Linked DNA regions of Canis lupus familiaris. The protein of the gene in region 3 purifies or fractionates together with the protein of the main gene of each other region. This does not show direct contact. Links are inferred from orthologs where the notes say so. Each region holds a gene or a part of one and is shown on either strand. Other genes may lie near its edges. The genes, in order: PDGFRB, HSP90AB1, FYN, CDC37, SKAP1 and CD36.

Region 1 (4,617 bases), on a different chromosome or scaffold from region 3:
GTATTTTCTTTTGGTTGCACAATACTGAGGAAAATCCCAAATCTCACAATAAGCAGCTGCAAACAATGATAATACTTCTTTTTTTTTTTGTTATGGCCTAACTTGCCATCAGAGCCTCAAACAAACACACCGGCTGGAGGGACGTTATTCTATGACCTGAACAGAAGCGGAATAAGCCAGCATGCTGGCGCTGGTCTCCAGATGTGGGGATATAACTCACCTCCCAGGGGGCTGGGGTTTGTGAGCTTGTCAAATGTCTTGTGAAAATTTAAACACATCAGAGGACCCCTGAGTTTGGAAATGGCCAGTCTAAGGAGTCCTCGGGCCTTGAAGGTGCTGTGATTCCATGAGTTTGTAAAGCCCACCCCTCCACCTGGGTCTGTGAAATGAGGGCACTGGACAGGCTGCGTGCAGACCCTCCAGCTGGAGTGTCCTGTCATCTGTGGACAGAGGGCCAGGGGAGGGGCCGGCTTAGGCTACTGGCATTTTCCAGAATGCTCTGGGGGAGTGGTTTTAGTACCTCCTTTGGTGCAGGCCCCCAGCAAGTTGACCACATTTAGATGGGGCCCGAGGTGACTCATGATCTTCAGCTCTGACATGAGGGCCTGCTTCTCGCTGCTGCGGGCTGTGGCTGAGGGGGCAGAGATGAGGCCTCAGGCTGCCCTGTTGCCAGGGCCCCAAAAAGGCCCTTTGGCCCCACCCTGTGCTGTAGGACTCCCATGGCCTAAGGTGGCAAGGGCCCACGAGTAGGGGGAGGAGAAGGAGACAGAAGGAAGGTCAGGGAGGGAAGGAGGTACCAGGAAGGTGGGCAGGCAGCCTCTTAGCCAGAGCAGAATCTGGAGTGGGGCTGGCCTCCAGGTGGCTGCATTGCTGTGGCCAGCAAATCAGAATCAGGGAGGGCCTGAATGTGTGAGCAGGGGGCAGGGAGGAGGTGGGGGCCCAGATGTGAGGAAGCGGCAGGCTGCCAGGACTCACATTTCAGCATCTTGACTGCCACTTTCATCGTGGCCTGCGAATGGCTTAGGCCGTGAGCCGTCGCCTCCACCACCTGCCCAAAGGCCCCAGAGCCGAGCGTACGTCCTATGGTGGAGATGATCCGTCAGCACCTGGCCCACCAGGAGTCTGCATCCCTCACTCTCTCTGAGATCAATCCTCGAAGCCAACCTGGACTTAAAGTGTTCCCCTCAAGGAGTCTCCTAAGTCCACAGTGTTTTGCAGCCCTTCCCTGCAAAGTCTCAGCTGACTTAGTCTTAGCTAAGTCCTGCCTGCTTTCTGGCCCATCTGCAGTCCCTGGAAGCCTTCCTCCCACCCCGGAAGGGAACTCAGCTCCTCAGCGTGTCTCAGCCTTCCCAGCTAGACCAAGCACAGGCTTGACATGCAGCCTGTCCTCGATTAATACATCTCTTGCCACAAAGGGCTCCTATGTCACAGTCACAGGACCATAGGACCTCAATGCTGAATGGTCCCTGGGGGATCATCTCGCCCCATTGTATGGAAGGAAGGCAGGACAGGAGCCCTAGGTCTCAAAGCTAGTCATGGCAAAGCTGGGCCACACCTCAGTCTTCCCACCCGCCTCAAGTTCCCAGACTGCCACACAGGGACACTCTGGACTGACCAAGCACGAGCTGGTCCCTCGGCAGCTCCCAGGTGGAGTCGTAGGGCAGCTGCATAGGGTCCACGTAGATGTACTCATGGCCATCGGAGCTCACGGATTCAATCACCTTCCATCGGATCTCATAACGTGGCTTCTGCGGGACCAGCACCAGGGATGGATCACCACAGGAGGTCTGGGCTTTGAGGCCCACAAGCCCATAGCCCCTTATATAACAGATGCAGCACGAGACTCTGAGGCCCAAAGAGAGGCAGAGGCATATTTGAAGTCACAGAGCAAGTTACTGATAAAACCAGCCTCATGGGCTCAGTGAGAACAGGTGGCAAGAGGCCTCAGCATGACCATGGCTGAGGAGCAGCTAACAGCCAAGGGCCCGGTTCATCAGAACTTCCTCATCTTGGGGCAGCCCAGGTGGCTCAGCAGTTTAGCGCCGCCTTCAGCCCAGGGCCTGATCCTGGAGACTCAGGATCGAGTCCCACGTCAGGCTCCCTGCATGGAGCCTGCTTCTCCCTCTGCCTCTTTCTCTCTCTGTGTGTCTCTCATATATAAATAAATAAAATCTTTTTTAAAAAAAAAAAAAAACTTCCTCATCAGCTTCTCCCAGAGCCCCAACTGCTTCCCAGATGGAAGTAGAGGGGTGGGCAGCCCTGAGAAGTGACACAAGCTACGGGCACTCAGCTAGGTCTGGACAGCCCTCCCATGCTCGGTCACTCGCAGTGGATATCTCAAAAAGATATAAGCTTAGGATGTTGAAATCACAGGATGTTGGAATCACAGGATTGGAATCTCAGAATGATAGAATCATGGGTGCTGCAATCCTAACTCAGGAATCTTAAAATGTTGGGATCACAGAATGGTGAAGCCTCTCTGAACAGAGCACTGAAATTACAGGTTAATAGGATTAGAATGCATTTCAGCAGAAGCCTGGGAGTCTCGGGGTGAGAGCTGGAAGAACCCTGGAGCCCATGTAGTCCACCCAGAAAGTGCCTTGCCCTGTGTCGTGGCAGGGTTGGGGACAGGGCTGATGTCCAAGCAAAACCTGGGAGGGCAGAGCAGAGGCAAGGGACCTTGGAGGGCCCGGACCAGGCCCAAGACAGCCTCTCCTGCTGGGGGTGGAGGCAGCTTGGACACCCACTGGCACTGCACGTCATTTTACACCTGCCTTCTGTGCAGGGCAGGGAGGTGGCCGGGTCCTGTGACACTCAAGGACAGTAGGGGGCTCCATGCAGAAAACCTAGAGTGTTAACCTGCACCCATTAGTGGGGATAGGAGGTTACCTTTTGCCAGAGCATGATGAGGATGATGAGGGAGATGATTGTGAGAACCACCAAGGCCAGGATGGCCGAGATCACCACCACCTTGAAGGGCAGAGCTGGAGGCAGAGACAAGAGCTGACCGTAAGGAGACAAGGAGCTTGGCAGCTGCCCCGTGCCCCTCACCCCCCACCGTTGGTACCGCAGATCCTCTCTGCCTGTCCTGCCCGGGATGGAAGCCTCCCTCCACCAGCCACGGCCTGTGATGTCAGCCCCTCCGTCTGGGCCATACCTTCAGCCTCTGCCATCAGAACCCACACCCCTCAGTAACAACTGCAGCTCAGATTCTCTGGGCCCCCATATGCCTTCAGCCTTTGCAGGGGTCAGTCTGGCCAGTCTGCCATGGCTCCAGATTGGATGCCAGCTCCTGACGACTGGACTCGCCTCGCCTCTGAATCCAGGCCCTTGCCCAGGGCTGTCACAGCCTGTGACTGAGCTCCCACAGCCTGATGGATACAGATCGTTTCCTCCTGGCTTCATCCCAAGCACCCAGGGGTGTTGGAGTTATAAGGTGCATCCCCCAGGGAACAGGGGTAGCCAAGTGGGGCTGACTCTGGGCCCCATGCCCCAAGTCTCTTCCCTAAGGCCTCAACCTCTTTGCTGCACAAGTTCCCTTTCTCTTCCCCTGCCTCTACATCCATCCCAGCCACACCCTCATCTCCCCTTCCCTGCCCCTGCATCTACCCCAGCCAGATCCTCATCCCCCCTACTCTGCCCCACTGGCCACCCATGGGGTCCCTGAGGACTTCGTTCCCTCTTCCTCTGTCCCTCACTTGCCCCTCTAAGCACCCCTAGAGGCCCTGTCCCTCCTCCTCAGGGCCCCAGAACAACTCCTCTCCTCTCTCCCCACTCGGTCACACATCCCAGTCCTGGGAAGGAAGTCTGAAATTCTAAGGAGCCATCTGAATAAAAGGAAGAGACTTCGTGCAGCCACGGTAGTTTCCCTGTGGGCTGGTACATGCCCGCCTCCTCCTGTGACACAGAAAAGCTTTACTTCTGTCTTGCTCGGGGCTGGTCTGCAGGTGCCCACTTGCCTGAATCCCACGGCTGGGCATGGAGCCCCTCCTCCCTGTAGGTTTTCCCCCCCAAAGTACTGCCCCCTGCAGTGGGATTGCCTAATTGCTTGTCTGCTGTTGCTCTGGACTGTGGGCACTAGAAGGGCAGGCAGGGCTTGGCCTTCTCCAGTGAGAAAGAGGAAGGAGAGAGTCAACGAAGTACAAGCACAGGGGTGTATGCATGCATAGGGACTGGCAGGCAGCAAAAGCATCCAGGCGCTGGTGGACACATATGAATATATGCATGTGTACCTGCTCGTAGATCTGCATCGTACAGCAGGCATCTGTGTGCAGAGACTGTGTTTGCGGGCTTTCACGGAAAGGTGTGCTGCAACTCCATGCTTACAGACATGCGCTATGCCAGTTGGCACACGTGTACAGGAATTGAACATGCACCATTTGCACTCTTGTGTGGGGATTGTTCATCTGTACATACATGCACATAAACATACCCTCATGGATCTATATAAACATATCTGGAGATGAGGTGTGTTCATATACGTGGTTTATAAACATACACTAGGTGGGTTTACACACCAAGGCAGGAATCATGCATGCCTGTGTATATGCTGACAGACATACACTCCAGCCTTAGATGCGAAATGTGGGGCTCGGGCATTCTACATAATGTTGTTTA
Region 2 (3,773 bases), about 56 Mb from region 3:
GGGCTCCTTTTGACCTCTTTGAGAACAAGAAGAAAAAGAACAATATCAAACTGTATGTCCGCCGTGTGTTTATCATGGACAGCTGTGATGAATTGATACCAGAGTATCTCAGTGAGTATTCTCTTGGCCTCATGTAGTTAGTTGGGTAAGTCCTGTGAAGTTTCCTCAGCATTCTCAAAGACTTGAGGTCTTTTCATTTTCTAAAAAGGAAGGAAAAAAGTCTTCATTGTAGCTAACATGGCTAGTAAAGGTTCAGTGAGAAAATGGGTCCTATTAAATTTACATAATCTTGCATAGTTCATTTTTAACTGTTTTCTTCCTGGTCGATTACAGACTTCATCCGTGGTGTGGTTGACTCCGAGGACCTGCCCCTGAACATCTCCCGAGAAATGCTCCAGCAGAGCAAAATCTTGAAGGTCATTCGCAAAAATATTGTGAAGAAGTGCCTTGAGCTCTTCTCTGAATTGGCAGAAGACAAGGAGAACTATAAGAAATTCTATGAGGCATTCTCTAAAAACCTAAAGGTACAGAAGCAACAGATTATTATTGAATATTCATGGTGGAGGATTTTTTTTAATTCACGTAGAAGGTAATGTTATTTAGAAGTAAAATTGTTTTTTTCTTACCCTGGAAGCTTGGAATCCATGAAGATTCCACTAACCGGCGCCGCCTTTCTGAGCTGCTGCGTTACCACACTTCCCAATCTGGAGATGAGATGACTTCTCTTTCAGAGTATGTGTCCCGTATGAAGGAGACTCAGAAATCCATCTATTACATCACTGGTGCGTTGGAGCTTGGGTCTGATCAAAGGCTCTCAGGGTGAAAGGGAGGGAGGACATTTGGGAATCTCTGGGAACTGGCAGGAGGCGACATTCTGACCCGAGTCACACTCCATAACTCTACAGGTGAGAGCAAAGAGCAGGTTGCCAACTCCGCTTTTGTGGAGCGAGTGCGGAAACGGGGCTTCGAGGTAGTGTATATGACAGAGCCTATCGACGAGTACTGCGTGCAACAGCTCAAGGAGTTTGATGGGAAGAGTCTGGTCTCAGTTACCAAGGAGGGCCTGGAGTTGCCTGAGGATGAAGAGGAGAAGAAGAAAATGGAGGAGAGCAAGGCCAAGTTCGAGAATCTCTGCAAACTCATGAAGGAAATCTTGGATAAGAAGGTTGAAAAGGTGAGCAACTCTGGGAGTAGGGCATGTGTCTTGTAAACAAGTGCTCTCAGAATCTTGTGGCATTACACAATTAGATTTATTTTTATTTTATTTTTTTTATTTATTTATTTATTTTTTTAATTTTATTTATTTATGATAGTCACATAGAGAGAGAGAGAGAGAGGCAGAGACACAGGCAGAGGGAGAAGCAGGCTCCATGCACCGGGAGCCCGATGTGGGATTCGATCCCGGGTCTCCAGGATCGTGCCCTGGGCCAAAGGCAGGCGCCAAACCGCTGCGCCACCCAGGGATCCCTAGATTTATTTTTAAAGATTGTATTTATTTATTCATGAGAGACACACAGGCAGAGAGAGAAGCCGTCTCCATGCAGGGATCTCGTTGTGGGACTCAACCCCAGGACTCTCCAGGATCATGCCCTGGGCTGAAGGCAGGCACTAAACTGCTGAGCCACCCAGGGATCCCAGATTTTTTAAGATTTCAATCATTTATGAGAGAGGCAGAGACCTGGAGAGGCAGGTTCTCTGCAGGGACTCTGATGCAGGACCAGGACCACGCCTTGAGCTGAAGGCTGATGCTCAGATCCTGAGCCACCTAGGCATCTCTAGCTTTGAGTTTTTGAGTAGAACTCATATAACATATAGGGATCCCTGGGTGGCCCAGCGCGCGATCCTGGAGATCCGGGATCGAATCCCACGTCAGGCTCCCGGTACATGGAGCCTGCTTCTCCCTCTGCCTGTGTCTCTGCCCCCCCCCCCCCCCCCCCCCCCCCGTGACTATCATAAATAAATAAAAAAAATGTAAAAAAAAGAATTAAAAAAAATAGAACTTAACATATAGTCATTTTGGCCTGGAAATGATAATCTGATGCACCATCAATGGGAGTTTCTGTAATTGTCTACAGGTGACCATCTCTAACAGGCTGGTATCTTCACCCTGCTGCATCGTGACTAGCACTTATGGCTGGACTGCCAACATGGAGCGGATCATGAAAGCCCAGGCACTCCGGGACAACTCTACAATGGGCTATATGATGGCCAAAAAGCATCTGGAGATCAACCCTGACCACCCCATTGTGGAGACGCTGCGGCAGAAGGCAGAGGCAGATAAGAACGACAAGGCTGTCAAGGACCTGGTGGTGCTACTGTTTGAAACAGCTCTACTCTCCTCCGGCTTCTCACTGGAGGATCCCCAGACTCACTCCAACCGCATTTACCGCATGATCAAGCTAGGCCTGGGTGGGTGCCAGTTACCAGAGTGTGCCAAGGAACTGGGGAGTTGGTCTCATGGGGGACAAAGATGATTTACTGGTATTTGGATCAAAGTTCACAGGCCTTTTTTACTTTCTAGGCATCGATGAAGATGAAGTGGCAGCGGAGGAACCCAGTGCTGCTGTTCCTGATGAGATCCCTCCACTTGAGGGTGATGAGGATGCCTCTCGCATGGAAGAAGTCGATTAATTTCTCCTTGCAGACCTTGTGCCCTCTGTATAGTGTCCCCATGGCTCCCCAGCAGCCCTGAGTGGCCCCGGTTCACCTGGTTCCCTCTGCTGATGTCTAGTGGATTTTTTTTTTTCTCCTCCTGTCTTTGTTAGAGGCAGGACAGAAGGGCCTTAAGCCCTAGCCCTCATGACATTTGACAAGGGGTTTGGATGTGTATTGTGGTGTTTGTTTATTTTGTTCTGAGATTAAAGTATGCAAAATAAAGAAGATACGGTTTTATACAGTTATGCTCTCCCTTGTAAAGTGGATTTCCTGCTGCTTTTTGAGTTTCCTTAGCTTTTCTTTTTTTTTTTTTTTTTTTTTAAATTTTTATTTATTTATGATAGTCACAGAGAGAGAGAGAGGCAGAGACGCAGGCAGAGGGAGAAGCAGGCTCCATGCACCGGGAGCCTGACGTGGGATTCGATCCCGGGTCTCCAGGATCGCGCCCTGGGCCAAAGGCAGGCGCTAAACCACTGCGCCACCCAGGGATCCCTTCCTTAGCTTTTCTATCCCAAGCTTTACCTGGTCATTCTTCAGGTACATTGAAAACTAAGGTCACCCTATAGCCATTTAGCACTTTTCAAGTCACCCAACATTGCTTCTAAAGGGTAGTCTCAGACCAGCATGTGTAACACCATGCCCTTTATATCCGTCCCCTTCCTAAAGCATACACTTCAGTCAACCAAAACACCGGACTTTAAAGCCCATTGCAGCAGTTTAATTTAATAAAATAAAATTATAAGAGCAAAAAGTTACATTTCCAAGGTACCAAAACCTGCAACTGGCTCTTTGAGCAGAACCTAGGGATCCAGGAGCAGAGGGTGGTATCACTGGGCAGGGTTCTCCCATCCCCCTCCTCCAGCACAGCACCCGCTTTCACGGACTCCTGGGAAAGCAGCACTTGGAGCCTACAACACTTGTGCTTTTCTCACCAGAGTAAGAACTGTAGGTCTCTGGGAGTCTGCAAGGGTGGGCTGTTCAGGGTAGGGGACAAGCACTGGTGAGGTGTTGGAGCCCATAGGGCAAGACTTCAGGGAATTTGAGGGGGTGGAGGCTTTGGAAGGTCCCTCTGTCTTCTCAGCATCCCTCCACACTGAGGAGGACGGTCCTCTACCCTT
Region 3 (4,617 bases):
TGGTAAATCGTGACTCGCAGTTAACTGTCAGACCAAGGACTTCACTGGTACCGGTCTGGGAAGATGGTTGGCAGGCTGAGGGCATTCTAGAGGGGACAACCATCGTTCCTTCTCCTGGCCTGCGCAGAGTCATGGTCGCTTCCAAAAGGGAGAACTAATGAGAGTGGCCCGTGTGGCAACCCTCATTTCTGAACTGAGGGAAAGAAAACTGGCCCATGACTCCCAGATCCGGGGAACCTGTCCTCCTCCCTGACACCCTGGGCATCTGCCTCTTCTGGTGGCCTTGCCTGACCAGTAAGGGGGGCAAGGAGAGTCAGCCACGAAGCCCGCCATCCTTTGGCTCTGATATGGCATTTTGCCCTGGATTTGTTTAAGCACGACGGGGAGGATTAGACGGTGCACCCCAACCAAATTCCCAACAGGATCACTGTCTTGCCTTTAATTCCTTTATATTTGCTCTAAGGAGACCGGTTTTGTTTCCCACTCTCAAATACTCAGTTTTTTCTCCTAGGGAGTGTGTTTTATCATCAGAGAATAAAGGAATTTGTATTGAATTTTTATTTTGGGGGGCAGATTTGCCAACATCTGTGCGTTCTTTCAGAATAAAAGGTACCACTAAAAGGTGGCAATACTTTGATTTAACTGAGAACCTACCGACTATATATTTAAGCTATATTTGTAATGGTCAGTTTTTAAAATACGTGGTTCTTAAAGAATAAATTAGCATCTTAAGAAGATAACGCCTATGGCTTTACATAGGCAATTAATTACCATTATCTTAAAATGCTATTGTCTTGGTTCAGCCCATTGTTCCAACTGTTCTCTTTTCACCACCATTTGCATTTATACTGCGTTTTCATCCGGCAACCGATGCAAACCCAGAAAGTCATTTCTCGTAAATAATTGTTGTGATTCTCTTTATACCGTCTAGCGCTAAGTTAGGATTGTTGCACAGTCTGGTGCCTTTAAAAGTCACCGAGGAGCTCGCTTGGAGTGTGTCTTTTCTTATCTTCAGCGAGGCTCCTTCATTCACAAAAGAATTTGACAGTGAACACATAATAGCTATGTTCAAGTATAGTGAATTAAAATTTCATTTTAGAAATTGGATCCTCTCACAGTTGAATATTCTAAAATTGTGTCTGTGCACAGATTCCGACGGGGTTCTCCTGAATTCTGTCGTGGATTCCCACGGCACCTGCTGCTGCTCCCTCAGCAGCTAGTTGCAGAAACGTTAGCTAATTGCCAAGCCATGGTTAGGGCTAGAGAGCGGAAGGGAAGATAAAAGATGAACAGCAGAGATTGTGAGGTGACTTGACGCGACGCCTTCTCACACGGCACCAGGGTGTTGTCACGGGGAGGATAGGAAACAGCTGCAACAGCCAGTCGTTTGTGAGGCCGTGCTCGTTGACTGTGTAGTGACCTGTCCCTGCAGCTGAGCCAGAGCACACATGCGCAGATCCCCACCCATCTGCTGGGCAGATCTTCCATTTACACAAGTCCTCACACCTGCTGGCCAGGAAGAGCATGAAAGCAAGCATCCAAAGGCAGCAGTCATCTCAAATTAGGGGTAGTCTTGACAGCTTCTTTTTTTTTTTTTTTTTCCAAAATCACTGTAGGTACGAAGTTACTGAAAATATCACGTTTCTGTTCTTTATCCATCCTGACTTTTTTTTTTTCAATGCTTGATTAATGATCTTTACTTAGACTAAGGCTGCAGTTTCGTTATTTCCCAGGTGTTGTAATTATGCTCAGAAATCCAGGGTCTTATAGACATGCACGGAAAGGGTCTGCTGCACTTGCCATTTCAAAACAAGGTCTTAGATTTCTCTTCTTGTGAATGCAGGTGGCAGTGTTAACACAAACCAGTTCTTGTCACCTCTGGAAGAGAAGGAAAATCGCCCACGATTCCAATCTGATTTATTTTCTTCAAAGACTGAAAAAGATGGATTAGGGATGGAATCGGGAGCAGACTGAAAGGGAACTAGATGAGGCTAGGAAAACGTGGAAGGGGAAAGGCTAGGGATGCGATCGGAGGTGAGGAGGATCACTACTGCAGTTTTGTAAATGATCCCTTACAAAATGTTTCCTTCCCTTGATCTCATTTAAAGGTGGTACTTTGGAAAACTTGGCCGAAAAGATGCTGAGCGACAGCTTTTGTCCTTTGGAAACCCGAGAGGTACCTTTCTTATCCGTGAAAGTGAAACCACCAAAGGTAAGATAAGGAGTTGAAGAACTTGGTTGTCATTCAAATCTGTGGATTAGTCAGAGCAGATGAAAAGGCTTCTCTCTAACGTACAAGGATTTTTAAATGGCACATATCCTCCCCACCTTGTGAGCAGAGTCCTATTTTCAGTTTCCCCCCCAGGCTCTAGAACCACAGACAGCTCCAAAAGAACTGTAGAGGCTCAGAATCAAGCCCTTTCTCCCAAAACAGGGGCCAGGCAGCTTCACTCCTGCAGACATGCAAGATGATAGAATTCACGGCAGTTCTTTAGAGTTACTGATTTCTACAGCTTGTGGTTCCTCAGGCACCAATCCTACAGGTTATTTTTGCATTCCTTTTGTTTTTTCAAATCTGAGGACTGCTCTTCCTCCAACCACTGGCCTTCCATTATTTAACCACCCACACATCAGAGCCCACAAAAGGGAGCTGGGCCAAGGGAAAGGAGGAGCAGTGGCCTTCTAGCTTGATCTACTAGCCATGGTTATGTGCTCCTGAGACAGTGAAGTGGAATCTGAAGGCTCCCTTCTAGAGAAACGGTCCTTACCCTTCTTCAACACACGTGGCCACTGCCTCTGCAGCACTCCAGGGGTAAGGAAGATGAGGACAGAGACCCCAGCCTGCCTGTGTGTCTGTGTTTCTCTTCATCCGCCCCCAGGGGAGTTGGGTCTAATACCATATTAGGCAACACTAGGGTACTGAAGAGGGTCAGGACGCTTTCATTCTCAAGGATAAAATGACTTAATTGCTAATAACTTCTGGCATTTGCAAGAAAGATGTGTTTTCTTCTTCTGTTACTGAGTAGGAAGAGTGTGTGTGCATGCACATTTGCATGTGTGCAGATGCGCATGTGCAAACGTGCATGCACACATGCGTGTGTGTGTTCTCTTCATATTGATTAATCAGAATAGTCAGGTAAGTGAGACCCAAAAAACAAATGAGCTTTCAAAATTATTGGAGCTGCTAATGCTTTGCATATTTACCAGGTGCCTATTCACTGTCGATCCGAGATTGGGATGATATGAAAGGAGACCATGTCAAACATTATAAAATTCGCAAACTTGACAATGGTGGATACTATATTACCACCCGGGCCCAGTTTGAAACACTTCAGCAGCTTGTACAACATTACTCAGGTAACCCTGACTCTAGCTACTCACCACCGGGACACTGGAGGGAACGGGAGGCTCCTAGGGAGGTCGGGCGGGGAGGAGGTACAAGCATGAGCAAGGTCAGCAGTGGCATAGTTTTCTTTGCAGCCAGGCAAGGTGGGGCTTAGCTGAATAGGTTCTGTTGATGTCTTTTTACCATGGTTGTTATTAGTTCCACGCATTTGTCAAAAGATTCTAAAACATTCTAGTTCTCAAGTACGAAGCAATAGGTTAAATTGTAAATGTTGTCATCTTTTCCTGTTCCCCTGGGTCTGTAATCAGAAACCGTGACAGGAGAGGGAGCAGTGTCTGGGAGGGAACTCACGGTTGGGGGCGGGGGGGCTCCTGTCGAGGGTCCCCAGTTCACACTCAGCACTCACGGGACTGGCTGCACATGCTTTTCATTCCCATGACCAGATGCATTTTGCAGTCCATTTATCACGTTCCACTCCTCCACCACTTCGGCTATTTCCTAACTAGATGTAGACTGTGTGGCCCACAGCTCCTAGATCTGTTATAGCTATTGTATTAAATCCAGCTTACAAACAGTAACTAGATCAGTCGCTGTCCTAACACCCAGAGGTCACTGTTAGTGTGTTGTTCCTAGAAATATATGCTTATGAGGTATTTAGGTGTACAGTCCGCACATTTTAGTAAAGAATATGGTCTTATATACAAGTGTCAAAACGATTACTTTCTAAGATTAGCAAGGCTATCGCACCACATAACATATACACACAGGTGGATTTTTACATAGATGCACATGCATATACAGATCTATGTCCCATTGATCCCTGTAGTTTTTTCTGTGATCTGTATATGTGTGTGTGTGTATTATGTGTACACACATAATATATGCATACATATATATATATATATATATACACATTATATACTGTTCTTCAGGACAGTAACAAAACCCCAAAATAGTACATGGCTTGACCTCAACTATTGCTCTGTGCACACTCATTTTTTTTTTTTAAAATTGTGTATAATTTTTTAGCACCGAGAAAAAAGCAATCTTTTGAAAGTGGCAATAAGAAATACCTATCGATTCATCCTGGGCACTAATGAAAAAGTGAAAAATTAACAGGACTTGGAGTACTCGTTGATTAGGGCATTGGATAGGTTTAGTTTATATGGATTCTAATGAAATATTTGGGAGAAATGAAGCAGAATATCTCCCTGAGCTTAAGCGACATACTCAAAGTGCCTGCACATGTAAGGATTTTTCAAATGCCGAAA
Region 4 (5,155 bases), on a different chromosome or scaffold from region 3:
CCACACATCCACAGCCGGGAGGCCGGCCCCAAAGGGCGTACCGCAGGGCCTCGGCTTTCTCGGGGAGCGGGAAACCCCACAGCGTCCTGGTCCCCTCCCTCCGGGGTGCCGGGTCCCCTTCCCCACCGCAGCTCGCAGCCGCGAAGCTTACCTTGCAGAGAGGGGCTGGGGAGGGAATGCCCCGCCCTCTCCGGCCTGAGGGCAGGAGGGGACAGGGGTGTCCAGACCCTTTGTTTGCTGTTGTGTGTGTATGTGTGTGTGCGCGATTGTGAGACCCGCTGGGGTGTGGGTCCGTGCGCGCGCGCGCCCGGGCCTTGACGGCCGCAGAGATGCTGGACTGCCTGGGCTCAAGGGGGAGGGGGGGGAGGAGGGGGGACTCCCCCGCCCCCGCCCGCCCACTCGCGGGTTTGAAAGATGCTCGAGGGGGAGGGGAGGCAGCGGGCGGGCGCTTTTGTCCGGAAGGCCCCTCCCCTTCCCTGGGCTGGGGAATCCCCCCATTTTGAGCCCTTTAATCCATTCCCTCCAGCCCGCTCTCTGCAAACACCTTCTGGGGGGTAGTCTGGGTAAAACGCCCCTCATCCGAGAGGCTGGAGCTCCTCCCATCCCACCCGCCCCCACGGAACGCCCTTTAATCTGAGATAATCCTGGCCCTAGGCTGCAACACGGCCTTTTATCCCAGTATCAAAACGAGGGTGGGGATGCACGCAAGTGTGCAGCTGGGGTCACCCAAGCTCACAGTAATGGAGTCTTTAGAGTCCCGGCGGAGTAAGGGGGCTCCAGACCAAAGGGGAGGGGCTACGAACGATTCTAGAGTACCACCACGAGGAAAGCCTCCATCCGCACCTCCACGATCCCCTTCCAGCCCCCCGGCTGCGCGGGGCCAGGAGCAAAGGCCCCCTTTGGCTAGACATTAGTGACACCCAGCGGCCGCACGGGGAGACGCCTCGGACAGGAGTCCGAGATCCGTTGACTCGGGCGGGGGCGGGTAGGGAGGAGCCGGGGTGGATCTGGGTGATTTTAGAGGGGGCGTGTGTGCGCGAATCCCGGCTCAGGAATGTCACAGGCCGGGGACGCGAGGGGGAGAATGGTCCGAGCTAGGGAAACACCAGCTCCCAAGGCAGGGCCACATCGCCCCCACAGCCGACCCCCCAAGGGCGGAGCCACGTCCCTCCTCCACTTAGAACTTTCCTGGGAAGGGCTCTGTACCCCAGGACTGGGAAAGTGCTCTCATCAGACACCCCTCCCCAGCACAGGGTTAGGTCCTCTTCTCCAGGGGCAGAGGGACAGGTCTTCGCGCCGAAGCCCGCCCCTGCAGTGGGCTCCGGCTGACGTCACTGCGGCGTGGCTAAGGGGACAATCCTCTGCTACAGTCTCGCCATCGGCCCCGCCTCCCGAGGCCGCCGCAAACGCGCACCGGGGGGACAGCTGGAGATGAGGGGGGCTCGAGGTTGGAACGCCAGCCCGTATACCCTCACGAGGTGCCCAATGAGGCGGGGTCTTTGCCGGGATTCCCGGGGGCCGGAACACGTGCGCGGGACCCTTTAAGGCAAGCCGGGTCTCCACAGCCGCCACCGCGGTTACTAGGGATGTAACGTCATGCGCGGGCGGGGACGTGCGCGCCAGGGCGGAAGCGGAAGGGGCGGGGCTCCGCAGGCCGAGTCTCCAGCGCTGCCGCCGCCAGAGTCAGACCCGGAGCCGGAGCGGGCTGAGCCGCCGAGGCAAGATGGTGGACTACAGCGTGTGGGACCACATCGAGGTGTCTGACGATGAGGACGAGACGCACCCCAATATCGACACGGCCAGCCTCTTCCGCTGGCGGCACCAGGTAGGGTGCGCGCGCCCGTCCCCTTCCCCCCTCCCCCCCGCCCGGGACTCCGCTCCAGAGTTCTGACCCCTAGTACTGCCAGGGACCCCGCCATTGACACCTGGGATTCCCAGCGCATAGTCTGGGCTTTCAGTACCGCTTGGGGTTCTTCGATTCGACTCCAGACCTCAGAATTGCCAGGGCGCTGAGTCCCTACCAGAGGTCCCCGGCCTCCCCTCCGATTTCTGCGTGGAGCTCCCAGTTGACCCTTAGAGCACCTTCCTCCGAGTCTAAACTGCTAAGAGAAGCTTTGGGGGTGTCCCCCCAATCCTTTCTGGGACCTTCCACTTAACACGCAAAACTCTGCCTCGGAGCTGGACTCTTGATCCTGTTCCGGGAGACATTTCTGATCTTGGATGTACCATCTGCCCCTCCCCAAATCCTAGAGTCTTCGGTGCTTTGAATTTATTCGGAGATCTTCCTCCCTGGTTCCTGACAGGGATTCCCATTCCTTCTCCAAACAGAACAAGGAACCCTGCCCTCCCCTGAGGTTTCTGCTCTTGGCTTGAGAGTCCAACCCATACCCGGACCCCTTCTGTAGAACGTAGCTGGATGCTCCACCAGGGCCTTCGGTCTCATCTAGGATGGAGTTTTGGAACCCGCTTGCCCAAACCGGACCACCAGGTCCCCCTGATGGAGTCTCGAATTCCAGCCACTCTTTAGCGTCACCTACTGTGGACCCTGTTTCTCATTATACCAGGAAACCCTGCCCCACAGGGCTTCCGGCCCCTCCAGAGCCCCTGCTCCTCCTTGGTATTGCAGGCCCAGGCACCACCCACCCCCAACAGTTTCCTGTAGAAGCCTCTGGCAGCCTTGGAATGCCTTCTACCAACTCAAGTCCAGCACCCAAACCCACCCAACCTTCCTCCTGACCCCAGCTTGGTCTGTTGCTCTCAGACACCCACATGTGCCTGCTCTAAGGACCCTCCCAATTTGATTCCAGATTTACTGCCCCTTCTTTTTTTGTCTGTTTGCCCCCAAATCCAGATCCCAGAATCCTGTCTGCTTGTTGTCCCATCTCCCTGCCCAGCAGTGCTCACAGGACAACAGAGCAGCTCTCATAAGACTTAATATTCTAATCTCTTGCTCCCCCAAATCGGAGCTTCTACACCCACATACTTGTGCGTGTTATACTCTCACTTTGAGGGCGTATACCTCTCAGAACCTTCCAGTTAGGAATTCCTCACTCCACCCTCGCATATGGCAACTCCCAGTCATTTATCCAGAACCTCCTAGAAGGGCCCTTCCCCATCCTGTGGTGTCTTTAGTCCCTACATCTGGTCTCCAGTACCATTTCCAACCCTTACCTTAAAGCAGCACTCTTGGGTAACATACCTACCAGGCAAGCCACGGAGAATGTAAGAAGAAAGTTCTAGCACTTCCATTTTTTGCCATGTGTAACATTTTATTATGAAATGCTTAAGACTCAACACAGAGCTCTAAAGACTGTTCTTGGGAGTACCTACTTTTGTCACATAAAGAGGTTAATCTATACAGCTATGTGGAGAGCATTTTGGTCCTGCTGGGTGGGAAACCAGTGCCCCCTCTCCTGCAGAGTTCTCCCGACCCTGCCTTCCTCCCTCCTGGAACAGAACCTTTTCTTGTCCTGCTGAGGACCCTATGGCTGTAGTGGAATCAGGTGGGGGTGGGGCGGGGGGGAGGGGAGAGAAGCATCTCTAGCCCCAGCTTCAGTGACAGGCAAGTTTGGGTTCTAATCCCAGCCCTACCACTTACTGCTTTACTTTTCCTGCCCCTAGAGACCATCCGAAGAATGAAATGAGATTAGGCCTGACAAGAACTTGGCTCCGGGCCTGGGAGGGAGTAAGCATATAGGAGGGGGAGGCAAGATTAGGAAAAAGGTAGCCTGCTGCACTTCTGAGCACAGGCCTGCACAACTGGGTTCCAGTCCTGGCTCCTGAATCACTGACTTACTGCATGACCTCCAGCAAGTTGTTTGATCTCTTTGTGCCTTGGTTTCCCCAGTTGGGAATATTAAGGGTATCCACCCGATAGGGTTGTTATGAGAGGTTACTCTATTGAGTACGTGTGATGTCCTTAAGGATAGCACGTGGCACGTGATAAGCTCTCTGTAAACTTTAGCAGTTACCGTCATTGTTATTGTTTAGGTAATCCGTGCTCCGGGAAAGAAAGATTCCAGAGGTGCCAGAAAGAGACAAGGGAGTGTCCCAGCCCCACCTCCCTTGTCCAGATACAGCTACTGTTAAACTAGTTTCTTGGGACTCCTTTCATCAAACTATGGCGCTGTGATTCTGTGAGCGTCAGGTTCTTTGTAAGGCTGGAAGGTGGTGACACCTGCAGGTCCCAGCTTCCTGCTGTGGCCCCTGTCACACCCAGGCTGCCACAGCCCCTCCCAGAGGTGGAAAGCCCGTGCTGGGCAGGCTGCCGCCCCCACCAGCTCCAGGAGGCCTTTATTTAGCTCCAGTCTCCCTGGCGGCCACTCAGAGGACATCGAGAAGAGCTCAGTGGCCACCCAGCAGAAGCCAGCAGGGTGGTAGGCTCCTGCTGCCACCCGAGGCCAGCTAGAATGCCAACCCCAGAGAGCCCCGCAGCAGGAAGCCCCCAGGGCACCCCAGGCCCCAGAGGGGAAAATGGCAGAGCCCCAGGCCTCTCTCTTACTCTTCCAGGAGGCAAGGGCCCTTTCGGCCTTGACACAGCTGGGGAAAGTGAGACTCTGGACTGTCAGCAGTCCTGTGGGGCTAAGTTAGAGAAGGCTCAAGGCTTCCCCATTCTCACCTACTGCGTGCCTGACTCTGCTCAAACTTGGAGATACAGCCTCAGAGAAGGCCCAGAAGTGAGTGAGTGAACCACTCTGGGGCCAGTGGCCAGGATGGTGACGCTAACAGCGGAATGTGTTCATTACGTAGGACTGCGTGCAGTTTCCTGGGAGTAACTCCTTTGATGCTGCGTTTTTCCCAAAGAGGAACTAACTCCAAGGCTAGAAGTGTTTAAGTGTCTTAGCCAAGGTCACGTCACCAGTACGCGGTGGAGCTGGGTGATGTGACAGTGCGGTAACAACCACTCCCAGGTATTGAGCATGTGCTCTGGGTTGGAAATTGATGGAAACACTCGAAGTATGCTTTCTTGTTTGAGCCCCAGAATGGTCAAGAGAGAGAGAGAGATTGTCCCCTTGGATAGTAATGGCAGTCGCCACCACGGGAATGGTGCTTGCCGAGCATCCAGCATGGCTCTGGACTGTCTACTTTGACTTAAATCTCCTTTGCTTCTCCTGGTGCCGCTCGGTGAGGTCGGTACTGTTGTCTGCCTTTGACA
Region 5 (5,081 bases), on a different chromosome or scaffold from region 3:
GATAGTCATTACAAGCCTACATTACAAAGCCACTGCACCCCTTAAAGGATCAAGCCCCCAACCTTGGGAAACTATGCCAGGAGGCAGGCAGTGCCACTCCCTGTCCTTCTGGACAGTTTCTCCTTATGGCTTCCATCCCCAAATCCGTGGTTCCATCAACATTTTCCCCTGAGGCTGCTGTAAAAAACCACTCACCCATCTTCCCTGTGTTCTCTCTCCCTCACTGCTTTCAATCCTTCCCACATATTCTTGTTGTATGCAAGAATCTGAGACTAGAAACTCCATTTTTTATAAAGAAGGAAAATGTGAAATGTGCAAGATCACACAACTACACAGGTCACATGCCACAGCTCAAAACTTGTCAATGTCTCCCCAGTTGAGTTCAAAATCCTCATTCTGACTTTCAAGTCCCTTTACAATAAGACTTCACGTTTTCTTGACAGCCATGATTTCCCTATACCATCCAGTAAAAGGGTTATTCGCTGTTCCTCAAGCAAAAGGTTTTTCCATCTTTTTTTATTCTGTTCTTTCCACCTGAAAAGCCCTCCTGCCCCTTCCAAGCCTGGTGTGTTCAGGGCCCATCTTGAATGTCATATGCACCATTAAACACATATGCACCCACACTTCTCTCCTTTTTTAAAAAAATATATTTGTCTCCCTCCTTTTACGCTCATGGCACTTTCTGCTTTCATGGCACTTGGTTTATTGAGCTTAAAAAACTCCACAAAGGTTTTTGAGGTCACTGAGATTCACAGAAGTTAAAAGAAATGATACAGAGCGATCCTCTCTACCCCTTCCTTACTCGTTTCCACCAGTGGTAACATCTTGCAATACTACAGTTTCAGATCGCAAGCAGGATAGGGACCCATACTGTATTTTGGAGGAGGGGAGGAGAACACTTCTGTGATCTCCCGTTCTTCACTTTCCTCCCTTTGCCAGCTGTTAGAGGCAAAAGGCTGGCGTCCTCTCTCCCCCCCGCCTTCTTCGGGGTTACCCCATCCTTTCCTGGCATCCTTACAGCCTTAGGGAGGGACACTGGCTCCCTGTATCCGCTGCAGCCGCGCCGCTCCGCTCCTCCCCAGTGTTGGTGGCTTTATTATTTGAGACCTGCAGCCGTTCCTTTGAGACAGGGGTTTGCCCGAGATAGTGGACGTTCTGCCCCGTTTTCTGGGCGTGGACGTGCGAGCCGGATCGGGAACTGCTTGCCGCGGGGCTCGGCGGGGACGGCCTCCCCGCGTTCTGCGGCTCCGCGCCCCACTCCGGGCACCACCGTGGCTTTGGGACGCGTCCCTTGAGGCCCACCGGCCAGTACTTAGGGTAGAAAGTGTCCCAGGAGATGAAGTTCCTTTGGGCCGCGTTTAGTCTTTTGTTCCGGTGCGGGGAGAAGGGGTGGCTGTGCGGCTCCCCGCCCCCCAGTGCTTCCACCTGCGGGCGCCGCGGGAGTGGCGCGGGCACCCGCGCACAGGTGTTCCCCCCAACACCGCCCGGGGCGCGCCCCCCGCCCGCCGCGCGCGCCACTTCCTGAGCGCGCCCCGGGCCCGCGGCCCCGCCCTGCGGCCAGGCCGGGCTGCCGCAGCAGCGGCGACAGAGGTACAGGTGCCTCCGCCGGAGACAGCCGCCTGCCAGCCCGCGGGCTTTGGCTCCAGGCCTTCACGGCCGCTCTCCCGCCTCACACTCCGGCCTCCCCGCAGCCCGGCCAAATGCAGGCCGTCGCCCTCCCCGAGGAGATCCGTTGGCTCATGGAAGGTAACGCCCTGGCCCGGCCCCAGGCCCCCCTCCCGGCCCCCTGGGAAGTCCCGCAGGTGCAGAGCTGGAGGCCCGAGCCGAGACCCAGGGGCTCCCAAGACCGGCCTCTCTTTTCGGCTCCATCATCCACAGCCTTCCAGAACCTCAAGACTGCTGGAACCCTCAACTCTGCAGACCCAGATTTCATCCTGTCCGCTCAGGGTCCCATTCACTCCCCCTCAGTTCCACATTTTTCTTTTTCTTTTCTTTTCTTTTCTTTTCTTTTCTTTTCTTTTCTTTTCTTTTCTTTTCTTTTCTTTTCTTTTCTTTTCTTTTCTTTCTTTTTTTTCTTTTCTTTTCTTTTCTTTTCTTTCTTTCTTTCTTTCTTTCTTTCTTTCTTTCTTTCTTTCTTTCTTCTTTCCTTTCTTTTCTTTCCTTTCTTTCCTCTTTTTAAAGATTTTATTCATGAGAGACACACAGAGAGAGGTAGAGACACAGGCGGAGGGAAAGCAGGCCCCATGCAGGGAGGCTGATGTGGGACTCGATCCCAGGACTCCAGGATCATGCCTCCAGCAGAAGGCAGACGAGCCACCCCGGCGTCCCCACATTTTATTTCTTCCTCGAGGCATCTCCACCCACCCTCCACTTCACCTTCCAGGCTTCTGAACAACGTCTGGCCAGGTTCTTGGCAGGGGGGGGGGGCCTCCATGCGACCTTGCATGGTCTTTGGCCAGACCCTTTCTCCTCGGGACAGTACCCCGACGCCTGTGGGGTTTTGCCTTTCCTCCCTCCCCAGCCCCGAAGCCCCTCACCTTCTTGCTCCAGGTCCTCGAGGCTCTCGGGGGCTGTGAGGGGCTCGAGGGGCTCGTGGGATGCTGTTGGCCAAGGCCTGGGGCTAAGTGTGAGTTTTGTCGGTGCCGAAGGCCCCAGCCTCCTTTTGCCAGCCTGCAGACTTCTGCGGGTCTTGCTGTCTACCCAGGGCAGGTGGATGCAGTATTAAGTTTCTAACTCTTCTAGAAATGCCCCACACTGGTGTGTTTACCTTCAAACTATGGTGCCTAAGCAGTCCTTTTAAGAGTTAAGGCCATATTCAGCAACACTCCACAGATGCTTCTAACACTGGAAAGAGACTTTTTGCTAATGGGCAATATCTCCAGCTCCATTCACACTGCTTTCTGGCAAAAGTGATTTGCTTTCCTGTAACTGACCTTCCTGGAAGGACAGAGGCCTGGAATCTGTCCTTGCATAAGCGTCCCAGGAGGAAACGACTCTGAATTAAGCCTTTTGGCATCCAAGTGACATTTTTGACACATATTTAACAGATGGCCTGCTTTGGGCAGGTCAGACTTTTGGCAAGGAGTTTTTTTTTTTTTTTTTTTTTTTCAGTTTCTCTCAATGTAATTGGTTTTATATCTCCATTACCTTGTTATCTTGGTATAAATGCCTCCTAATCAAATATTTGGCAGTCCTTTTGGTCTCTGTTTGTAGCACTGTTTCCATTCTGGATTGCTTCTATGTAAAAGCTGTCAACGAGGTATTTCTTTTGAGGTGAAGTTTCCAAAATCCACTTTACTTATATGACCCGAGTAAATCTAAACTTTCAGAGTAGAAAAGTATTTGTAGGGTGAAGCAGCATCATCTGGGTGTCTGAGAAGAAGCAATCCAGCCTCTCTTTCTGCCATTGGTTCAATATTGTATGTTGAATGTAAAGAGAGACTCAAAGTGTGATGGTTTCTGGGAGAGAAGGAACTGTGGCAAAAAATGTAATTCTGCCCTTGTGTTTAAAAATATAAAGTGATTATTTTTATTGGTATCTGTCATTTGATGAGAGGAAACCTATTTTACCAGCTTGTTAAACTATACTTCCGTTTTGTGTGCAGCTTTAGTAGGAAATTCTTTTTTATTTTCAGAGGCTTGCAATGAAATACACTCCTTCAACATTTTTGATGTGCAGTTCTTTATTGTTCAAAACTGACACTTTGGTAAACAACTCATTTCTGTACCTGCCACCTTCCTTTAGCTTAGATTATTTTCTTGTTAGCTGACTGTTTTTAATTGAAGTCTTCAGATCTCCTTCTAAAGCAGAACCTTTGTTTGCTGACAAGTAGAGCAGGGTATGAATGGAGATTAATTGCATGTCACATACTTCTGTGTCAAACTTGCTGTGTCTTAACAATCTGTGTTGGTGCCTGGGTCTTTAGAATCTATAGAGGAGTCTGAGATTAAATTTTAAGGAGCTTCGTTGGTTAATGTATTTCTTTAAGGCCTTTTTTTTAAAGTTTGCAATTAGAATCTGAATCTGAAGGAGAGGGGGGATTCCAACCAATAATTCTATTGAAAAATGTTTGAGGACTATGTTTTTGAAAGGTTCATGTAATCATAACACATTGGTTATAGGTTTGTTTTTTTTTAATGATATATAGTCTCTGGTGTAGACCAACAGAATTATTCATTATACTACAAATAATCTGTGGATATTAGAAACCCATAATGACTTTCAATTTATTGTCTGTTGCTGTGTACTTGTCTCCCCACCACACACACTTTTTAAGGTTAACTGTTGACAATTAGAAAATATGTAGGTCCTGATCTCTATATTGTCACTCAGTGGAGAAAGTCACAGGGTGAGAGAGCTGCCACTTTAGTGCTGCCACATGGTTGTGGGGGTGGAGTTTCCACAATGAATTACTACTTTCATAAACCAAGGCATAAGCATTCGCATGGTGATTTAACGCTGGCCATCACGGCCATAACTTAAGCATTTATTTATTTATAACTACATGAACAGAAATGACAGGGGTGTTTTTTGACATAATATGTGTGCTTTTAAAAATAAAATATGCAAAGCATTATGAAAGGTTTATGCCAAAATTTTGCATAATGAAGAAAGGAACAGAAATGTTGAAGGTCTAAAATTAATTTTAAGGATAAAATTTTAAACATTTGAAAATGTTTCATTTGACCTAGAAACTCCACTTCTGGGAATCTATGTTACTGAATTTAAAGGACATGAAGTATATATGTACAAGGATCCATCTTAAATGTCCAGGAGTTGGGAAAGGCAGGGCAATGGTATGAATGAATTATCCATCTTATGGAATATTTTGCAGTCATTAAAAAGAATGTGATAGGTCTGTATGTATTGGCTTGGAAAGTGTCCATATTTTTAAGACTAATAATATATACAATCCATTTTTGTTTGAAAACAAGAAAGTGAACCAACTCCTCCCTCCCATATATTATATATATTTTTTATAAGCCTGGGAAGAAGTAAGACTATACACCTAGCTGTTAACATTGTTTCTTTGGGAGGAAAATGAGAGGATGGGAGAGGCAGACATTATTACTTTTGTTTC
Region 6 (4,617 bases), on a different chromosome or scaffold from region 3:
AAATATTTAGGGTGCCTAGGTGGCTCAGTCAATCAAGCATCTGCCTTTGGCTCAGCTCATGATCCTGAGGTCCTGGGATCGAGTCCCGTATTGGGCTCCCTGCTCAGTGGGGAACCTGCTTCACCCTCTCCCTCTGCCGGCTGCTCCCTCTGCTTGTGGTCTCTGTCAAATAAATAAAATCTTAAAAGAAAAATATTAATCAGCCATTAGGACAGATGAATGAATCACTATCAAAAGTAGGACAACATAAATCTAACAGAAGCTCTAAGAGAACTTCACGGTAAGACACTTCATAGTGAGAAAAGTGCCACACTACTGAGAAGGTGGGGGATTTCAAAAACTAACATTTAAAAACATGTGACTTTGGCATCATTTTTGTAAACTTTCATTTATTTTTAAGGAGTGGGAAGACTTAATATGAAATTAAATACCAATGAATATAAATTGGACTTATTGAATATGGCAGCTGCTGGCCACATGATGCTATTGAAGAAATTAAGAAATGTGCTTAATTGAATTGTGAATTGAAATGTGCTATAAATGTAAAATACACACTGGATTTTGTTAATTTTTATATCAATTACATGTTGAAATAATGGCATTTGAGACTTTTTTTTTTAAGATTTATTTATTTATTCATGAGAGACACAGAGAAAGAGAGACACAGACAGAGGGAGAAGCAGGCTCCATGCAGGGAGCCTGATGTGGGACTCGATCCCAGGACCCTGGGCTGAAGGCAGAGGTTCAACCACTGAGCCACCAAAGTTCCCCGAGATGTATTGGGTTAAATCAAATATACCCATTTCTTTTTATTTTCTAAAAAAATGTGGCTACTGAAGAATTTAAAAATTACATATACAATGTGCCTTATATTTCTATTGATTATACTGGAATAGAGATGTCTAGGTTTTTCTAGGACACACATTACATCTAATCCCTTGTCACTGGCTTGATTTTTAAACAGATGCAGCCTCATTTCCACCTTTTGTAGAGAAGACACGAGTATTGCGTTTCTTTTCCTCTGACATTTGCAGGTAAGACAAAGACACTGATGTAGTTCCGTGAGTCAGAATTTTTTTCCCCCAGTGACAAAACACAGACCAAGAAGCTCATACTTAATGATGTTACTGGAGAAAAAAGTACACATAGGGAGATTTTTCTGGATTTATTCAGAGTACAATATGGAACTCATAATGTGCTTATTAACTTTTATAAAAATTGAGGGCTGCAGAAGGATAATATACAGAATGCAAATTATTTTCTTTCTCATTTTTAAGTAAGAGCTATTTTTTCGTTTTTTATTTTTTATTGTTTTACTACACTAGAACTATATTCAATAACAGTCACGTCTAGGACATGCCCATCTTTTTTAATGATGTCCAGGGAAAATGATGCCATTGTCACCGACTATGTTAATGAGCTCTAGTGCTACTACTGCCCCTTTTAAGATTGGTGGGTCCAGCAGATATCACACAAGCATTGGAGCCCAAGGCAGTCCACTTGAGTCCTTGCCCTGTTCCTAAAGAATGTATCATTATGAAAAAAAAAAATGTATCATTATGGGCAAACATTTGAAATCTCTCAATGTTTTCCTTATCAGTAAAATTGAAGAGAGCAGTGTTTCTTCATATAGGGTTATGTGGGAATTAGAAGAAATATGTATTGATCCCCAGCACATTGTCTAGGTATGGGTGAGTACTCAGTAAATGGTGGGGGTGCACAGGAAATAATGAGATCTATGTATCAAGAACTCACCTACACACGCCCCAGTGAGTCCGTGGCCTTCCCTCCAGGATTAAATTTTGAAAGAAAGAAATTTTAATTGTATTTCATGTAAAGTGGGCACAAACAGGGATTTGAGGGAAGTCATATAAATATTTAATGCATAGAGGAAATTAACTATGAGAAATGTCTTCAGTATAAATTCCCATGGTAGTTCACAAAAACTGCTCTTGGAAGCTTTTGAGACTAAAGGTAAGAAGAGCTCTTACTCGAATTATTGTATGTCCTGGTATGCCCTGAAATTTCACAAAGATTTTTTTTTCCTGTGAATTACATGAGAGTTTAAAATTCTAACAAGAATATAAATCTAAAAATAAAAGAAAAAAATCTCCAGAATGAAGTTCAGTTTCCTGGAATAAAGTTCTTTCTTATCTGTGTTTAGGTCAATCTATGCTGTGTTTGGAGCTGAAATTAACCTGAAAGGAATTCCTGTCTATAGATTTGTTCTTCCATCCATGGCCTTTGCATCTCCACTTCAAAATCCAGATAATCATTGTTTCTGCACAGAAAAAGTTATCTCAAATAACTGCACATCATATGGTGTGCTAGACATTGGCAAATGCAAAGAAGGTAAGTGTTCTCAGTACCACAGTCCATTATATAATCTGCAGTAGTCTGAAATGCAGCCTTTACCCAAGATCCCTTTCCACCAAAATTTAAAATCAAAGTGAGAAAGCAAGTGGTGGTAGAGAAGTGTTGTTTTGCTTTTCAGGTCCAAATTGTGTGTCAATGTTGTGAAACTTTAGTTATTATTAGGTAAAACCATACTGATGTTTTCCCTTCTATTTTCGTAAATGTCTCTTTCGGGCCTTATTTCATTTTTTAAAAATGGGTTGTGTGGTGTTTGTGTTTTTTTGTTTGTTTGTTTGTTTTTTTAGAGTTCTATGAATCCATTGTGTATTTTTGATATTAACTACTTATTGGATATTGGTTTGTTGTAACCATTCCATAGTTAGCCCTTTCATTTTGTTGGTTTCCCGTGCTCTTTTCAGGTAAGATAAAAATAATTCCTAGGATATTCTGAGCATACCAACTTATCCGTCTGCCATTTTTCTAGCTTTTTCTTCCCTAGAAATTGATTAATAAAAATATGTTTTCAGGGACATCTGGGTGGCTCAGTGGTTGAGCGTCTGCCTTTGGTTCACGTTGTGATCCTGGAGTCTGGGATCGAGTCCCACATCAGGCTCCTTGCATGGAGCCTGTTTCTCCCTCTATGTCTCTGCCTCTCTCTCTGTGTTTCTCATGAATAAATAAAGATAAAATCATAAAAAAATATATGTTTTCAGTATGTCTCTGAAACAAGAATTGACTTAAATACAATTTGAAGTCCATCTAGTTTAGTGCACCTCCTTCATATTGGGATGAATGTGAATGGAAAAAGAAAATCTACTAAATTCTCAGTTCACAGATATATTACTCACTGAAATATGAACATAATGGTTGAAATTTTGTGCTCAGCAGCTACATTTTACATATTGAAAATGAACACCTCAGGAAAAACAATTGACATTAGTTGGATGATGCAGAGATTTGTATTTTATTTTTTGTACAATAGTGATCAGATCATACAACTTCTTCCCCCATCAGTGTTCAAGCCCAGTTATGTCTTCTTTTATTGAAAAAGTTATATTTTTAAGGAACTATTTTCCTAGTGGTACGTGAAATGAGGAAAACTTTTTATCCCAAATTATCTTTTAAATTTATTTTCAGGAAAACCTGTGTATATTTCACTTCCTCATTTTCTACATGCAAGTCCTGATATTGGAGAACCTATTGAAGGCTTAAGTCCAAATGAAGATGAACATACCACATACTTAGATGTTGAACCTGTAAGCAAATATATTATTGATCTGATTTGATTCATTAAATTGAAAGAAAAAATAAATTCTCTTGTTAATCATTTATTGACTCACAGTCTTGATAAATTACTACTTTTATTTCAGTGAAAATTACATTGATTTCTTTCTTGTGTTGGTTATGAAATATCAAGGTCATTAAACTTTAGTTTTTCATCATATGGAACTTTATAGGCCTTTTTAATGGTTCCTAAGTCAGGAATACCAATGATAGGAATGATTCTAATTGGCTTAAAACAATTTAATATGTATAAAATAAGCATAAAACAATAATTCATGGGATACCTGAGTGACTCAGTTGGTTAAGCGTTCAATTTTTTATTTCAGCTCAGGTCATGATCTCAGGGTCATGAGATGGAGCCTGCCCCTTGCTTACTGGGGAGTCTGCTTGAAGATTCTCTCCCTCTGCCTCTCCCTCTCTCAGATAAATAAATCTTTAAAAAGAGAGAGAGAGAGGGAGAGAGATTTTATGGGTATATGTGAATTCGGGGCAAGATCTATTATACTTAGTGTCAAGAAAAATTAATTAAAAATTCCTATAGCTCAACAGTTTAATTTATTTAAATATTTTCCTCTTCAGAAGTTAAATGAAATATTTTAGTGGTCATGTGTCAGTTTAAATGATAGAACTAGTTATTATAATTAAACTGATGATACATTGATTCTGACTGAATATACGATTGGTGATGCATAGTTCAGCAATCTATATGAGTTCTGGGTTTCAGTATTGTTAATTACTCAAAACCATTTTTGGTAAATACCTCAAATCTAACTAAAACCTTGAGATTTGATTGATCAAAAAAATTGTGTGTATACATGCATCTGTATGCATACATGCACAGACACATGTAATCATAGTTATGTAATATATTTAACATTTCAGTTTCACAAGTTGCAAGTTTCATCATAATTCTATATAATAATAATAAAAGTGAGTTTTGGATATTATGATTTTTTTTTAGAAGTTTGTAATTAGTTT

Evidence for each region.
Region 1: the proteins of FYN (region 3) and PDGFRB purify together in Homo sapiens (pull-down; 3 studies listed by IntAct, with this or other methods). This does not show direct contact. The link is inferred for Canis lupus familiaris from reciprocal best matches to the Homo sapiens genes FYN and PDGFRB.
Region 2: the proteins of FYN (region 3) and HSP90AB1 purify together in Homo sapiens (affinity purification with mass spectrometry; 4 studies listed by BioGRID and IntAct, with this or other methods). This does not show direct contact. The link is inferred for Canis lupus familiaris from reciprocal best matches to the Homo sapiens genes FYN and HSP90AB1.
Region 4: the proteins of FYN (region 3) and CDC37 purify together in Homo sapiens (affinity purification with mass spectrometry; 5 studies listed by BioGRID and IntAct, counting the BioPlex papers as one, with this or other methods). This does not show direct contact. The link is inferred for Canis lupus familiaris from reciprocal best matches to the Homo sapiens genes FYN and CDC37.
Region 5: the proteins of FYN (region 3) and SKAP1 purify together in Homo sapiens (affinity purification with western blotting; 3 studies listed by BioGRID and IntAct, with this or other methods). This does not show direct contact. The link is inferred for Canis lupus familiaris from reciprocal best matches to the Homo sapiens genes FYN and SKAP1.
Region 6: the proteins of FYN (region 3) and CD36 purify together in Homo sapiens (affinity purification with western blotting; 3 studies listed by BioGRID). This does not show direct contact. The link is inferred for Canis lupus familiaris from reciprocal best matches to the Homo sapiens genes FYN and CD36.

The regions. Positions count from the first base shown.
Region 1 is NC_049225.1:59,864,506-59,869,122, reverse strand, and holds part of PDGFRB (platelet-derived growth factor receptor beta precursor), read right to left. Parts: intron 2,985-4,617; coding exon 2,890-2,984; intron 1,749-2,889; coding exon 1,616-1,748; intron 1,081-1,615; coding exon 976-1,080; intron 632-975; coding exon 521-631; intron 1-520. UniProt on the Homo sapiens protein: Tyrosine-protein kinase that acts as a cell-surface receptor for homodimeric PDGFB and PDGFD and for heterodimers formed by PDGFA and PDGFB, and plays an essential role in the regulation of embryonic development, cell proliferation, survival, differentiation, chemotaxis and migration.
Region 2 is NC_049233.1:12,851,359-12,855,131, forward strand, and holds the end of HSP90AB1 (heat shock protein HSP 90-beta), read left to right. Parts: coding exon 1-111; intron 112-333; coding exon 334-524; intron 525-634; coding exon 635-782; intron 783-905; coding exon 906-1,174; intron 1,175-2,075; coding exon 2,076-2,409; intron 2,410-2,521; coding exon 2,522-2,631; 3' UTR 2,632-2,900; downstream 2,901-3,773. UniProt on the Homo sapiens protein: Molecular chaperone that promotes the maturation, structural maintenance and proper regulation of specific target proteins involved for instance in cell cycle control and signal transduction. Undergoes a functional cycle linked to its ATPase activity.
Region 3 is NC_049233.1:68,550,648-68,555,264, reverse strand, and holds part of FYN (tyrosine-protein kinase Fyn), read left to right. Parts: intron 1-2,108; coding exon 2,109-2,212; intron 2,213-3,207; coding exon 3,208-3,357; intron 3,358-4,617. UniProt on the Homo sapiens protein: Non-receptor tyrosine-protein kinase that plays a role in many biological processes including regulation of cell growth and survival, cell adhesion, integrin-mediated signaling, cytoskeletal remodeling, cell motility, immune response and axon guidance.
Region 4 is NC_049241.1:51,124,151-51,129,305, forward strand, and holds the start of CDC37 (hsp90 co-chaperone Cdc37), read left to right. Parts: upstream 1-1,619; 5' UTR 1,620-1,723; coding exon 1,724-1,825; intron 1,826-5,155. UniProt on the Homo sapiens protein: Co-chaperone that binds to numerous kinases and promotes their interaction with the Hsp90 complex, resulting in stabilization and promotion of their activity. Inhibits HSP90AA1 ATPase activity.
Region 5 is NC_049230.1:24,648,514-24,653,594, reverse strand, and holds the start of SKAP1 (src kinase-associated phosphoprotein 1), read left to right. Parts: upstream 1-1,537; 5' UTR 1,538-1,700; coding exon 1,701-1,746; intron 1,747-5,081. UniProt on the Homo sapiens protein: Positively regulates T-cell receptor signaling by enhancing the MAP kinase pathway. Required for optimal conjugation between T-cells and antigen-presenting cells by promoting the clustering of integrin ITGAL on the surface of T-cells.
Region 6 is NC_049239.1:20,646,604-20,651,220, forward strand, and holds part of CD36 (platelet glycoprotein 4), read left to right. Parts: intron 1-964; coding exon 965-1,034; intron 1,035-2,164; coding exon 2,165-2,352; intron 2,353-3,492; coding exon 3,493-3,611; intron 3,612-4,617.